Linked DNA regions of Drosophila melanogaster. The protein of the gene in region 1 interacts with the protein of each later gene in a pairwise test. Each region holds a gene or a part of one and is shown in the gene's direction. Other genes may lie near its edges.

Evidence for each region.
Region 2: the proteins of BtbVII (region 1) and CG32121 interact in a two-hybrid assay, tested with the Drosophila melanogaster proteins (one study listed by BioGRID).

Annotation. Positions count from the first base shown.
Region 1 is NT_037436.4:3,146,941-3,151,754, forward strand, and holds the start of BtbVII (BTB-protein-VII), read left to right. Parts: upstream 1-1,705; 5' UTR 1,706-1,747; intron 1,748-1,759; exon of another isoform or gene 1,760-1,797; intron 1,798-1,961; exon of another isoform or gene 1,962-1,981; intron 1,982-2,192; exon of another isoform or gene 2,193-2,220; intron 2,221-2,687; 5' UTR 2,688-3,042; coding exon 3,043-3,213; intron 3,214-3,274; coding exon 3,275-3,902; coding exon of another isoform or gene 3,903-3,917; intron 3,918-3,987; coding exon 3,988-4,232; coding exon of another isoform or gene 4,233-4,244; intron 4,245-4,323; coding exon 4,324-4,432; intron 4,433-4,814. Other genes in the region: Usp5 (ubiquitin specific protease 5), read right to left, coding at 1-530, 592-1,105.
Region 2 is NT_037436.4:13,416,292-13,424,381, reverse strand, and holds CG32121 (uncharacterized protein), read left to right. Parts: upstream 1-2,045; 5' UTR 2,046-2,060; intron 2,061-4,256; 5' UTR 4,257-4,287; coding exon 4,288-4,401; intron 4,402-4,971; coding exon 4,972-5,295; intron 5,296-5,398; coding exon 5,399-6,453; intron 6,454-6,525; coding exon 6,526-6,979; 3' UTR 6,980-7,806; downstream 7,807-8,090. Other genes in the region: CG33263 (uncharacterized protein), read left to right, coding at 214-897.

The DNA of each region.
Region 1 (4,814 bases):
TTGCATCACGCTGTTTATGTAGCAGGAGTTGCCCAGATTGCGCATGCCAGTGTATCCAGGACCAGCAACAGGCTGCAGCTCACTTTCGCTCTCCGTAAGCGCCGTCCACTCGCCGATGCGCTGGTTAATGTCCAACTCTAGCTCCACCATCGACTTCTCGCTCTTCTTCATCGCCGCCATGTTGATGCCAAAGTGGGAGAGATGGCGCTCTAAGTGTGGATCGAGTACCATTTCATCCTCCGGGTAGGAGAACACATCCGACTTGCCATCAGCGGTGATGGTGCCCAGTTTCACCGCCAGCGGGAAACCCGTTACTCTGTAGTGCTCCACGGCGTGATCGTTGCCGCCACTGCCGTCAAAGAACTTGCGTCCGCACATGATCGAACCATCGGTCAGATTAAGCCAGAGGTTGTTGGTCAAGTCGCACTTCTCGCACTGCCAGCCGGATGGGGGAATCCTCTTGCCATTATCCAGCTGCTGCAGGTTATCTGCGTACTTCGACGCCTGACGCACTTCACCATCCCAGGTGCCTGAAAAATTATTGATTTTAGGCTACCTTCGTCAGCATGGGATAACAATCCTGCAACTCACCCATCAGCGTGGCCTTCTCCAACTTGGCAATTGCCGAGTCGGCGGCCAGGATCGCTTCCACCGACTGGGTGACACGCATGGGCAGCTCTGGATCCGGATAGGGCAGCTTCTTATCCAGGTGCGGAGCCACCACGATGCTGTACGTGTCCTTGATCTCGTACTTCTTGGCCATGTCCGACTCGTTGTAGCCGCCCTCGACGCCAATGGCCAGGCGGGTGATCTTCCGTTCCGGTCCTGCCTCCGACTCCGCGCATTCGGCCTCCATGTCGGCGCCCTCCTTGATCGTCTTCACCCGCTGGATGTGGAGGAAGACCCGGTTGCCGGTCTTGTCGGCATACTCCCGCACATACGCCTCGCCGAAGCCCAAAAAGCTGTGCAGGCACACGTACAAACCGGTGGGCGTCTCGGGATTGTCATAGGAGTAGACGCACTCGTCCTTGTAGATGGGAGGACTGCCCGCCCCGGATGCGCATGGCACGTTCACCTTGGATAAATGCTTGCGTAGTTCCTCCATAACGGTATCTGGAATCCTGTAGGCAGCTCTTTTCTCATAAACTTTACGGACCGAATGTAAAATAGTATAGTTGATTTTTTTTGCAGCTGCTGCTTAGAGATGAACATGGGAAAATGCATCGATACCGGCGAGCATGGATATGCGAATATCGATGGGTTGAAATGGTGTTTTACTGGTTGAAATCAGCTTTTAACAATTCTTACCCTTATTTTTGTACCTTATAACGGCTTTTGAGTGATATTTACGTATTTGGCCGCCCAATAAGCACAATTAGTTTAATTTGACTGCTGCAGGCTATCGTTGTTTATTCAATACTGTCATCTCTAGCCAAAGCCAACAACAAATTCGCGAGTCACCAAGGGAACCGAACTGGTTCCGTTAAGTACGAACAATGCGGGGAAAGTGTGGCAACGCCGATTGTGATTCATCAGATGTATAACCGAAGTCAACATTTTAAAACAACAATTCAAATGTTAACCATTTAAATACAATAAACAAATTATTTTAAAATTTGGGACAATCTTTAACAATTGGGATACTAGTTTTGATCTAGGACTGGTCACACTATTAAGCGACCTGTCAACTCGTTGTATACAAAGTTGCCATATAGTCACAAAAATCTTTCGCATAAAGAAGTAAAACGTAAGAATTTTCATATGCGTTTTTCGCCAGGAAATCCGCATTAAAATAATGTAAAAAGTGGTAAAAAAGTTGGCGCAAAGAGTGAGCCAGTCAAAGGCATTGAAATTCAGCTCGCTCTAACAGTTTTCGGCGTTGTTTTGCCCCTCGCATAAATTTGTTGCGCGCCATTTTGTTTTTGGAAAGCAAAAGAAAAAGAAGAAATACAACAGCAAAAACCTACCACAAAAAGTCAAAGTTTGTAAAAGCGATAAAAAGCAAGAGGAAAAGGAATTCTGTGGGGGGAAAAGCGAGTGAATAACATGTGGCGGCTTGGCTAGTTCGAGCATCATCTTTGTGCCTCTAAAAGACATACGAAAATAACGCGCGACATGCACATAAATAAATACGACTGAAACACTGAAAACTGAAAATATCGATACGATGAATAAACGAAGAAGCAGCGATTAGTACGTCGTCGGCGGTCGTCTGTGTGGGTGAGAGAGTGAGGAAGACGGGAATGGGGAAGGCGATTAAGTGCGAAAGAGATGGAGGAGCGCGGGGCGCGTATATAATTACGTCATAAGAATTAAAGAAAATTCAAGGTCTACAGCACTGCGGCTATACAAAAAGCTATACGATTTCGTTACGTTCTCGGTTTTATCAAAAATAAAACTTTGGCCAGTGAGCAGCAACAACAACAAGTATGGCTGTTGTGTTCCAGTGTGTGTGTGTGTTGTGTTTCATTTTCGCGACTGTATAATTACATACACACGCAGTCCCGCCGATGTTGTTGTTTCTGTTTGATTTTTTATTGTAAGCGAGAAGAGCGCGCAGCTGTGAAAAGCAGATGAGAGAGAGAGAGGAAGAAAGCGAGAGAGTGGAATTTGTTGTTGAGCAATTTGTGTAACCATCGATAATGTTTGATTTATTTAAACCCCATTTTTATTACCCCTTTTTGCAGTGACTCGCGATGCGTGCGGCATAGAAGTCGTCGCCCCCCAAAAAACCGTGATCCCGACCCCCCACACGCACACACACATGTACAGACTGCGATTGTTCATAAATTTAAATTGATTAAAAGTCGGAGCGAAAAAGTAAAGCGAACAAAACACCGGAAAGCAAGGAAAATTAATAAAAATCAATAGAGGCGAGCGGGAGGCGATAAAAAGTGTTATCAGTGCGAATTAATTGGCTACGAAGAAGGAAAGAAGCAGGAGGCGGAGGAGCGGGAGCAGGAGGAGGAGGTTGCTCCGGAGATTGAGGTTTAGGGAGCTCCAAATCCGCATCCCGGACGCGGATCCGGACCCCTCGACATCATGTCCGTGCAGCAGTTCTGCCTGCGGTGGAACAACCACCAGCCGAACTTCATCTCCGTGTGCTCCTCGCTGCTGCACAATGGCACCCTGGTGGACGTCACCCTGGCAGCCGAGGGTCGCCAACTACAGGCCCACAAAATAGTGCTATCCGCCTGCAGCTCGTACTTTCAGGTAAGTTGGAGATCGCCGCAGCGTATATCCCTTACGAATTACACTCAAATGTGTTCGACAGGCTTTGTTCACCACAAATCCGTGCCAACATCCCATTGTCATCCTGAAGGACGTGCAGTACGATGACCTAAAGACCATGGTGGACTTTATGTACTACGGCGAGGTAAATGTGTCGCAGGAGCAGCTGCCGCACATCCTCAAGACCGCCGAGATGCTCAAGATCAAAGGCCTAGCGGAGATGCCAACGGATCCGGCCAATCTTACCAAGTCGGATAGCAAGTCCTCCACCGACGGCACCGAGATGGTGGGCGGTGCGGGAGTGGGCACTGGAGCGGGCAACTCGGCTGGCAGCCTGGGAGCCGGCAGTGGAAGCAGCGTCGGCGACTCCCTGTGGAGCAGCAGCGAGGCCCAACAGTTCCAGCAGCAGCAGCAACAGCAGGCCCAGCAACAGGCACAGCAGCAGCACCATCACCACCAGCAGCAGCAGCAGTTGCAGCAGCAACAACAACAGGCGCAGCAGCAGCAACAACAGCAGCAGCACCATCACCACCACCATCAGCAGCAGCAGAGCGGACAGGCGCAGGCGGCGCAGACGCATCACCACCAGATGCGACGTACGCCGTCGCCTTTGAGCGCTGGAACCTCGCCGGCCACCAGGCGCAAGCGCTTGCGCAAATCCTCGAATAACGGTGAGTTGGAGTTGGGTAAAGCATCGTCGTGATAGATCCAAAATTGTAAGGTCTCAAAAAATAACCGGTTTTCGTAATAACGCAGGTTCTGGCGATCGCAACAACGCGGAGGAGCAGCACAACAGCTCACTGGACGCGGGCAGTGGTGCCGGCAACGCCGGTCTCAGTCTCGCCCAGATGAACCAGATGACATTTGGTGCGGGCGGCGGCTTGGCCGGCCACTCACTGCACGCGGCTAAGCTGCTCAAGGAGTCGGCCAGCGCTGAGCTAGAGCAGCAGCCGCAGGACTCGGATCTTGACGATGGACACGGACACTTACACATGCAAATTGTAATGAAATTGGTCACGTTAACCTTGTACCCTCGTCCGCATGAGCAAAGTCACTAATTGTTTTCTTTTTCTTCTCGGTGCCCACGTGCAGAAGCCCGAAGTCGACATTGGCGGCGTGAACCAAACGATGCCCTTGGACATCTCCGGCGGTACCACACCATCCGAGCACGATGCGCCGAACTCCCAGTCCTCGCACTCGGGTAAGTCGCAATTGGAAATCAAAAGCCAGCACACTGTTCCATCAAAGCTCATTGTTCATCGGGTAGGGATCTCATTCGCCAGGTTGGATTCTTTTTTTTTATCGTTTCTTAGTTTTGTTTGCCTTGATTACTTTAAAAAACACAAATCACGGACAACTTAACTGCAATTCGTAGTCAAAAGAAAGCTGACACACTATAGACTAAGCAGGAGTCAAGAGGGAAAACGTGTATAGATCAGAAATGACTTGACTTTTTTGAAACGAGCATGACTGAAAGAACATAGCTTTACAATGTTGGTATCATTTGCGAACTGACTAGGGGTTCACTGAACTGATAAGCACTGTCACCTATGTTCTCTTAAGCAAATCAATGTGAAATCTGA
Region 2 (8,090 bases), about 10 Mb from region 1:
TTTACCTTGGTACTGTTTTATCATAGCAACTAAGTCATTGGACGCCCTTGACATATTTATTGGTAGAAAGATAAAAATTGGCAACATGTTATTTGGGAAGATATCAACCACAAGTGTAACGATAAGAGTTTCGCAATGAGGCTTGAAAATTGCCATAAATAGGGATCGCCAAACCTCATCTCTATCAATAAAGTGAACCAACTGAATAGCACCATGTCATTTAAACTATCTTTGCATTGTCTGCTGATCCTGGCAGGATATCTCACTTCAATTGAAGCCGAAGTTTTCCCGCAGTGCGCAAATGCTCCATTGGATACCTTTGTCATGGCCATCGAAGATTGCGCTTCATACATCTATTGCAATGGAGAAGACTCCTTCCGAGACAGCTGCCCCGAGTCCACCTACTTTGACGATCGAACCCAAGAGTGTGCCTTTGATGATGAGGGTGTGTGTCTAAGGAACTCAGACTCAGTCCAGACTGAGGAGCAGCCCGATAAGCAAACTACTGGTGAGGAGCAGAGCGGGATCGAAGAAACCACTCCCGTTCCAACACCGCCTTCTGATTACGCCTCTACAGGATCTGCGGACTCTTCTACTTTCCAAGCTGATTCTACAACAACCCCTACAGAATCAATTCCTTCAGTGACTGAGCCACCGACTACATCTGCTACGCCATCCTCCCCATCTGCAAAGCCTTCCTCTCCAGCTCAGGAAAGGCCGCACTGCGACATTTCCGGAGATGGTGACCATCCTCATCCCCAGCGGTGCGAGTACTACTACAGGTGCCTCAGCGGCTATCTGACCATTGTGAGATGTCCTTACAAGTATGGCTGGGACTTTCCTACAAAGCAATGCAAGCCTAGCAGCGAGGCTCAGTGCTTTAGTTATAGCTACTAGATTTATCTTTAGAAGCTCAACTTTGATCTAAATAAATTAGATTAGATTAGGCGATCTGTAGGTTGATTTCAAATCATTTTATTAACTTTTATACATTTATTTATATGTTCTTAAGATGAGGCTTTAACTTTGATCATAATCAAAAATAAATGAATAATTTCCTGTATGCACTTTATTTTTCTTTCTTAGAGTGTACATAGCAATCACGTGTGCATTTGCATTGTCAGTCAACTAGATAGTTGTTAGTGGTACTTTGACATTTAACGTACGTTTTATGTAAGGAATTATCCTTGAGTGAAGGGCTTATATACACATTGAGCTATTTACAGCCTCCAAGCTACGCGGCTGCTAACCCAAATCGAGGTGCGCACAGATGACAATAATAAATAAGTATTTGTGGCATTTTAATGAATTGAAAAGTGCATAATGAAGGTGCTGGGTGCCCGATGACCAACGGCGTCTCCATCTGGCGGTTCCATTTGTATTTGTCAGGCATAATTCACAAATCCAACGCGCAGGTATATGAATTTATTTTCGGCGGGCAATTTTCAAACGGCGGCAACTGCTGTCGCCGCTTCCACATTTTATTGCAAATTAATAATGCACACGATCCCGCAACAGTAGCAGCCGCCGCTGCACCAACAAATTCCTCCGCCTGTCGGCCAGTCGTGTCAATTGTGTCTAGTGGCGGAGTGGTCGCAGTTCCTGATTATGATGATGATGATGATGATGCCCTCATGATGATTTGCCACTGGCAAATGTTTTGATTAACTAACTGCGGGGCAGCCAATTAATTTTTGGCCAAGAGGCTTCACACTGATCGCGAGTACAAAACCGCTGAGATTTCTCTTCGCTGCGCCGATGCGGCCTGCTCATTAATTAAAGAACATGGAATCGGGCGACAAACGGATCCGCCCGACATGCTGAGAGCCAAATTCGAATCCGCTAAACAAATGGCAACAGCAGCAGCAACAACATTTGGGCCAACAGCAACACCAACAAGCAACAGCAGCAGCTACAACACCAACAACAGCAACACAAGATAGAGGAAAATTGTCAAGAGATGGACATTCGAAAAATAGAAAATCTCCAACTAAACCGAAAGAATTGAAACATTTTCGGATTTTTTCATTTCAGATGCGAGCAGCAAACGGTTAACAAAGGTGCACGCTTGTCCCGTCGCGAAAATCGCGAAAGGGAAAATTCGTAACGGACGCGGGGAAAATGGCATTAGCAAAATATGTGTGAAAAGCTAGAAAAAGAGAAAAATAAATAAAACAAAAATGTGAAGGATTCGTTTAACGAGAACCCAGTGATAAACATAGAACCGAGTGATTAAATTATTCAAGTAAATTGTGTAATGTCGCTGCGAGCACAAAAGGAGATCTTCAATGTGAAAGATAGATAAAAAACAAACTGCGTGTCATAAAAACACTACATAAAATAACATGAGTTGAGGGAAAATATTCAATTTGATGATCGCCACGAGCATCCCATTAGCATAAAAGAAGTCAATTCGAGATCCTCAACCATAAGGGTTAGCCATAGAGCTCTATTATTAGACTTCCCCAGGGGCAGATATGCTGGGCCACTGGATTATGCGTGATTCACATATACCGCTGATCGTGCGAATTCTATATTGAAATTCAAATACCTCTCGGAAAAAAACAGCGTTGACATCAAATTTATGTGCGCCACATTTCATGGAACAAATGAAAGTTAAACAACAATAACAAAGGCAACGCAGCGAAGGCTTAAGCATGATTTCATTTTCTATCCACTTCCCTCGACATTCTCAACGAGGCGTATGAGTGATTATGTGTAAAATATTACGCATCAACGAAATAGCTTCGAAATGAACCAAAGCTAAAGGCAAAGCCAAATCCAAATCGAAATGAAAACGATTGCGAGGTGCTTTGGAATGAATTGCCATGGATGACAAAAGGCAGGCACTTGGACAACAAATCAAAATAGACAGCATGGCGAGAGCGTTTAGCACAGATCTTTATTTTTTGGATGGCTATTTAAAACAACAGCCAGAGGACGGTACAGGAGAAGGAGGTGCCGAGCTGAAAGGCTGAAAAACTAATTTCGGAAAATCAAGTAAAAACTGAGCGAAATACCAAAGAGTTACGGAAAAGAAGGCTGCCTGACTGTCACGACAACACTTTCTTGTGTGAACGAGCGCCAAAAAGGCCGCGCCGCTCCTCCTCCGACCCTCCATCTCGAGTCGCCATCCACCCCAATCCCCATCCCTCCAATCCCATAGCCAGGCATCCATTGTACCCCATCAGGCATGGCATGGCAAGGCAACCTCCACCATCCATCGTCTCTCAATAGAGAAATGCTTAGATGCGATTCTCAGTCCCATGTGCACACATAATGGAATGAAGAAAATTCCGTCGTCCAACAATTGCACGCTGGGCTAGCTAAAGTGCAAAGAAAACCAAAAGACTCGGACTTGTCACTTCGCTGCGGATTTGCATTGGCCGGGCTGCCTGTTTTTGGGGGGCCTCCAATGGTCGTCGGTGCAGCAGCAGCAGCAGCAGCATAGACCGAGAAATCCCCAAAATCCCCCACATACCGACATACCCACCCCAGCTTCCTTGGACTAGCTTCTTATAAATAGCCCTCGGACAAAAGTGTGAACCGCCCGCCCGCCCAGTGCATCACATGCGATCCGAACAATGGAAATTGCCAAATTTATAGTGTACCCAGAAACCCACAGTGGCACTGCGATCAGATCGCCCAGGCCAGGCCAGCCAAGGAAAACTTATTTTATTTAAATAAATTTGGTTTAATTGCCAGCAAAGAACACAAATAACACTGGCCGTGTCTGTGCGTCTGTGTGTGTGCTGTTTTATTGTAATTCCGATTCGTCAACTGGGCACTCACCGAAACGGCCGAGTAAATCAGCCCGTTGACTTGGTCATCAAAACATAGAGGAGTACTCGACAATCCGGATACCTTGGAGGAGCTGGCAGCAATCTAAAGATGGATCAGGCTGTCATTAAATCAAATTATGCCGTTTCCCGGTCCCCAATGACAAACAACCTCCGCGACCCGCAAGATTGCGCATAACGGGGCGTATGAGTAATAAGCCAACTGCTACGACATAATACGTATACGCCTCGTGGTGCAGACGCTCTTCTAGGCGGCCAAGAAGAGCGGACACGAAAAGTGTGTGTGACAAAACGTTCAATAAATAAACAAACCGAAATGCAAACAAACAAATTATGAGAAACGAAAACAAAGAAGCCAAGTGGGCTGGGGCAAGGCGAATAGAATTTGTTTACCTCTCCGACATCCGACATCTTGCACATTCACTAATTGCATTTACCCCCTTACTTCCATTGCAGCTGGTCCATGTGATCCAAACCCAAATGAATTATGGAACATGTAAATAGCACTAATGCCAGACAACCGCAGCATCATCATTTTGATCAGCAGCTGCAGCACAATGACAGCCAACAGCAATTCTGCCTGCGATGGCATAACCATCAGGTGAGATCCTCCAGATAAAATTCATTTGAATTTTCATTTGTGGGGGGACTATATTCAACATTACCTCATAAGTAAGATCCATTAGAATGGACTGGACATCGTTCAGTGAAGCGAGCAGGCCGAAAGTAAAATGTCGCCGCATCTATATATAGGATCCATCTATCCAAACACATTCCCCTATACGTACAGATTCACACATAGTTTTCCGCATTTTCATATAGTGACAATTTTTGTGTTTCGGCCCAAAGGGTGTAATGCGGTGAAAGCGGGGCAGCGGTGAAACTGGCTGTCCAAAATAGCAAAACAGCCAAATGGACAAAGAGTAGTGAGGAGGAGTGTTCAGTGTGTGTGTCACATAAATGAACAGATTCGTGCAATTGCCAAAATCCAAAGAATTTCCACAGCGAGTAAATCGAAAAGTTGGAAAGCAGCTGCAGCCAACCCCTGTCCCCTGTTACACCGCAGACAGAGGAGCATCATGGGGCCCAGGAAATTGTATTTTTATGATCGTGTGACCCACTTATGAGCACTTTTCACATCCCCAACCCCATTCCCTCTGATCCCTTCCAGACAAGTTTGCTGAGCACTCTGCCCATTCTGCTGGACCAATCCCATCTGACGGATGTGACCATTTCGGCCGAGGGACGCCAACTGAGGGCCCATCGCGTGGTACTGAGTGCCTGCAGCAGCTTTTTTATGGACATCTTCCGGGCTCTAGAGGCCAGTAACCATCCAGTCATCATCATACCAGGGGCCAGCTTCGGCGCCATCGTCTCACTGCTCACCTTCATGTACTCCGGAGAGGTGAATGTATACGAGGAGCAGATACCGATGCTGCTCAACCTGGCCGAGACACTGGGCATCAAGGGACTGGCCGATGTCCAGAACAACAATGTGAGTAGCTCAAGTGCAAGATCTAGTTAGATAATTTAAATAAACTTGTAGTTTTTCCCTGAAACTCATACGCCTTTCTCTTTGGTCTCATAAATCCAAGCAGTTACCAAAAACAGCGAGAAGTGGAGGTGGCTCCTACATGGATACGACGAATGAGAAGTCCTCTGAGTTTGAACGTCCCACCACACCCTCGCCCACGCCCACCCCCACCCTTACGCCCTCCCACACGCCTACCCCAAGCCATTCACTCCCCCTGCCCCAGCTACCAAGTGCAGCACTTAACACCCCTCTCCTGGCCAACAAACTGGGATCGGTGAACTCCAGTGGAATGGGCACCACGCCCCTGGAGAATCTCTTTAAATCACTGCAGTTCTACCCCAGTCTGCTGCCCCAACCACTCAACTTCTCGCAGACGGCGCTCAACAAGACCACTGAGCTGTTGGCCAAGTATCAGCAGCAATGTCAGCTCTACCAGAGCGGGATGCAGGAGGATCAACTGGAGACGGACTGTTTTGGCTCCAAGAGGCTAAAGGGCGACAGTCCGCCGAAGGAGCTTAGGCGACTGGAAAAAAGCCTTTTAAAGAATCCAAAATCCTCATCGACGACCAACAGTAGCAGTAGCAAGTCGCCTCAGGAATGCTCCAACCCGAATCCCATTGTGGCCACTTCACCAGTAACTCTCGCTCCCCCGACCATGGCACACTTCTCCCCTCAGTTGCCGGTGGTCAAGTGCTCCTCGGCTAGTTACCCCAGCGCTCTCGGCCAAGGTCAACTCTATAGTAGCAAGCCACCACTTTATAGTGCAGCAGTCACGCCGACTGCCGCCCAGCAGGCGGCGCAGATGCACCACCACCCGCAACCCGGGCCATCGCCCTACATCTCGGCCGAGGATCATGCCAAGCTGCAGCTCCACATCGAACAGTATCAGCGGGAGGCGGCAGCAGCAGCGGCAGCGGCCGCCGGCGGAATGGCGCTGGTCAGCGCCAAGTCGGAGCCCAATCTGCTCTCGCTGAGCGCCGACCGCGACAAGTCGCTGGCCACCGCTCCCATCAAGCCGCCGTCCAACTCGAAGCTCTATGCCACCTGTTTCATCTGCCACAAGCAGCTGAGCAACCAATACAACCTGCGCGTCCACCTCGAAACCCATCAGAATGTTCGGTAAGTGGTCTGAATTTTAATTGTTATAAAACAATAGAAGTCACCTTTGGAATTACTTTTCGATTCCATCAGGTATGCCTGCAATGTCTGCTCCCATGTGTCCCGCAGCAAGGATGCCCTGCGCAAGCACGTTAGCTACCGACATCCTGGGGCGCCATCGCCATGTGAAAACGAGGCTCGCCGGAAGAGGGTCTCCAAGCTAGCAGCGACCACTGTGCCCACTTCCACGCCCATGTCCATGAGCGCCAGTCACACGGTCACCAGTGGCGATGTGGGTCCAGCTCCAGCGACCACACTTGGATGTTCGGGTCAGGAGGCAAGGAATCCGTACCTTTTCCTGCCCAATCAATTTCAGATGGCTGCTGCTGCAGCAGCCGTAGCAGTGGCCGAATCCTCGCCAGCTTCTGGTCAACCATCGCTAGACTTGGCACACGAAGCGCCACCGAGCATCAAAAGTGAGCGGGAGCCACCGACGGCGAGCAACGGAGAGGCGACCGGTGTAGAGGCATCGGCGTCAACCACCTGAGGATAATTTTTTTGAATATTTTTGATTTGTTCAACTCACCACACAAACACGCACACAGACACAAGGAGTACGCCCACCCATGCACACGCATATTGTTGGGTGACCGATGAGTGGTGGAAGGAAAGGGCTGATCCCTGACTCCAATTGTAAATCCGCTCAAGGGTGGTGGAATCTATTTCAATTTCAATGTTTCCGAACTTCGAATCCAATTTCAAAAATATTTAATCAGCAAGCGTAATCAAGCTTAATAATATCATTTTGAAAACACTTGCAAAACCATTTAAATTTGCATATTCAAAATGTTTTTTTGTATTGAAAGTATATTTAAAATATCTCAAGTTCAAACTTTGATTTTTGTAAGAAAGATTACGCTCTTCGTTATTTTTTGACATCTAGCCCCATTATTTTACCACTAAGTATGATCGGATTTTTTAACAATGTCAGAGGAGCCAATTTTCATCACCCACTCATGAGGTGCCCAACATATGAATATGTCAACTTTTAGTCCCACCGAAACCAACGTCTTAGACCCGGCTGTGATAATTAGCGCAATTCGTTTTTCGTCTTCTGCACTCGAGCGCCTTTCTAGCTATCTTAATTTATGTACTTACGTTTAGCACAATTTACGTTTATTTTTTCTGAAACTTTAGCAACCTCCGAGGCTCTCAAACTGCAAGTTACAAACACAATCCTTTCGCTTTCACGCTCTCTCACAAGCACACGTCCACACATTCTAGTAATCTAAGCCAAGTTTTTATAAATATTGTAATTATACACCTGAACACGCACACACACTTGCACACAAAAAGACAGGGTGAAGACCTACCAAACCAAAAAAAAAAAAAAACACAATTTTCAAAGGAATAAATGTTTAAGAAGCCAAAGAAATTGTGCGTGTTTAGCTAATTTTCCCGATCGCAACCAAATGGAGAAAAGTAATCGGCGAGCTATGCAAAAACTAGTATATTTCATTTCATAATACAATAATTTATGTACGCTGGCGTACTTTACATATCTTTGTGTTTCCTTTCGTAGTTCGTAGTTCCAGTAGTATAAAAATTGTTCGAAAAACACATACGAAAATGATAGTGGGGCAAAGTAGTTGAATATC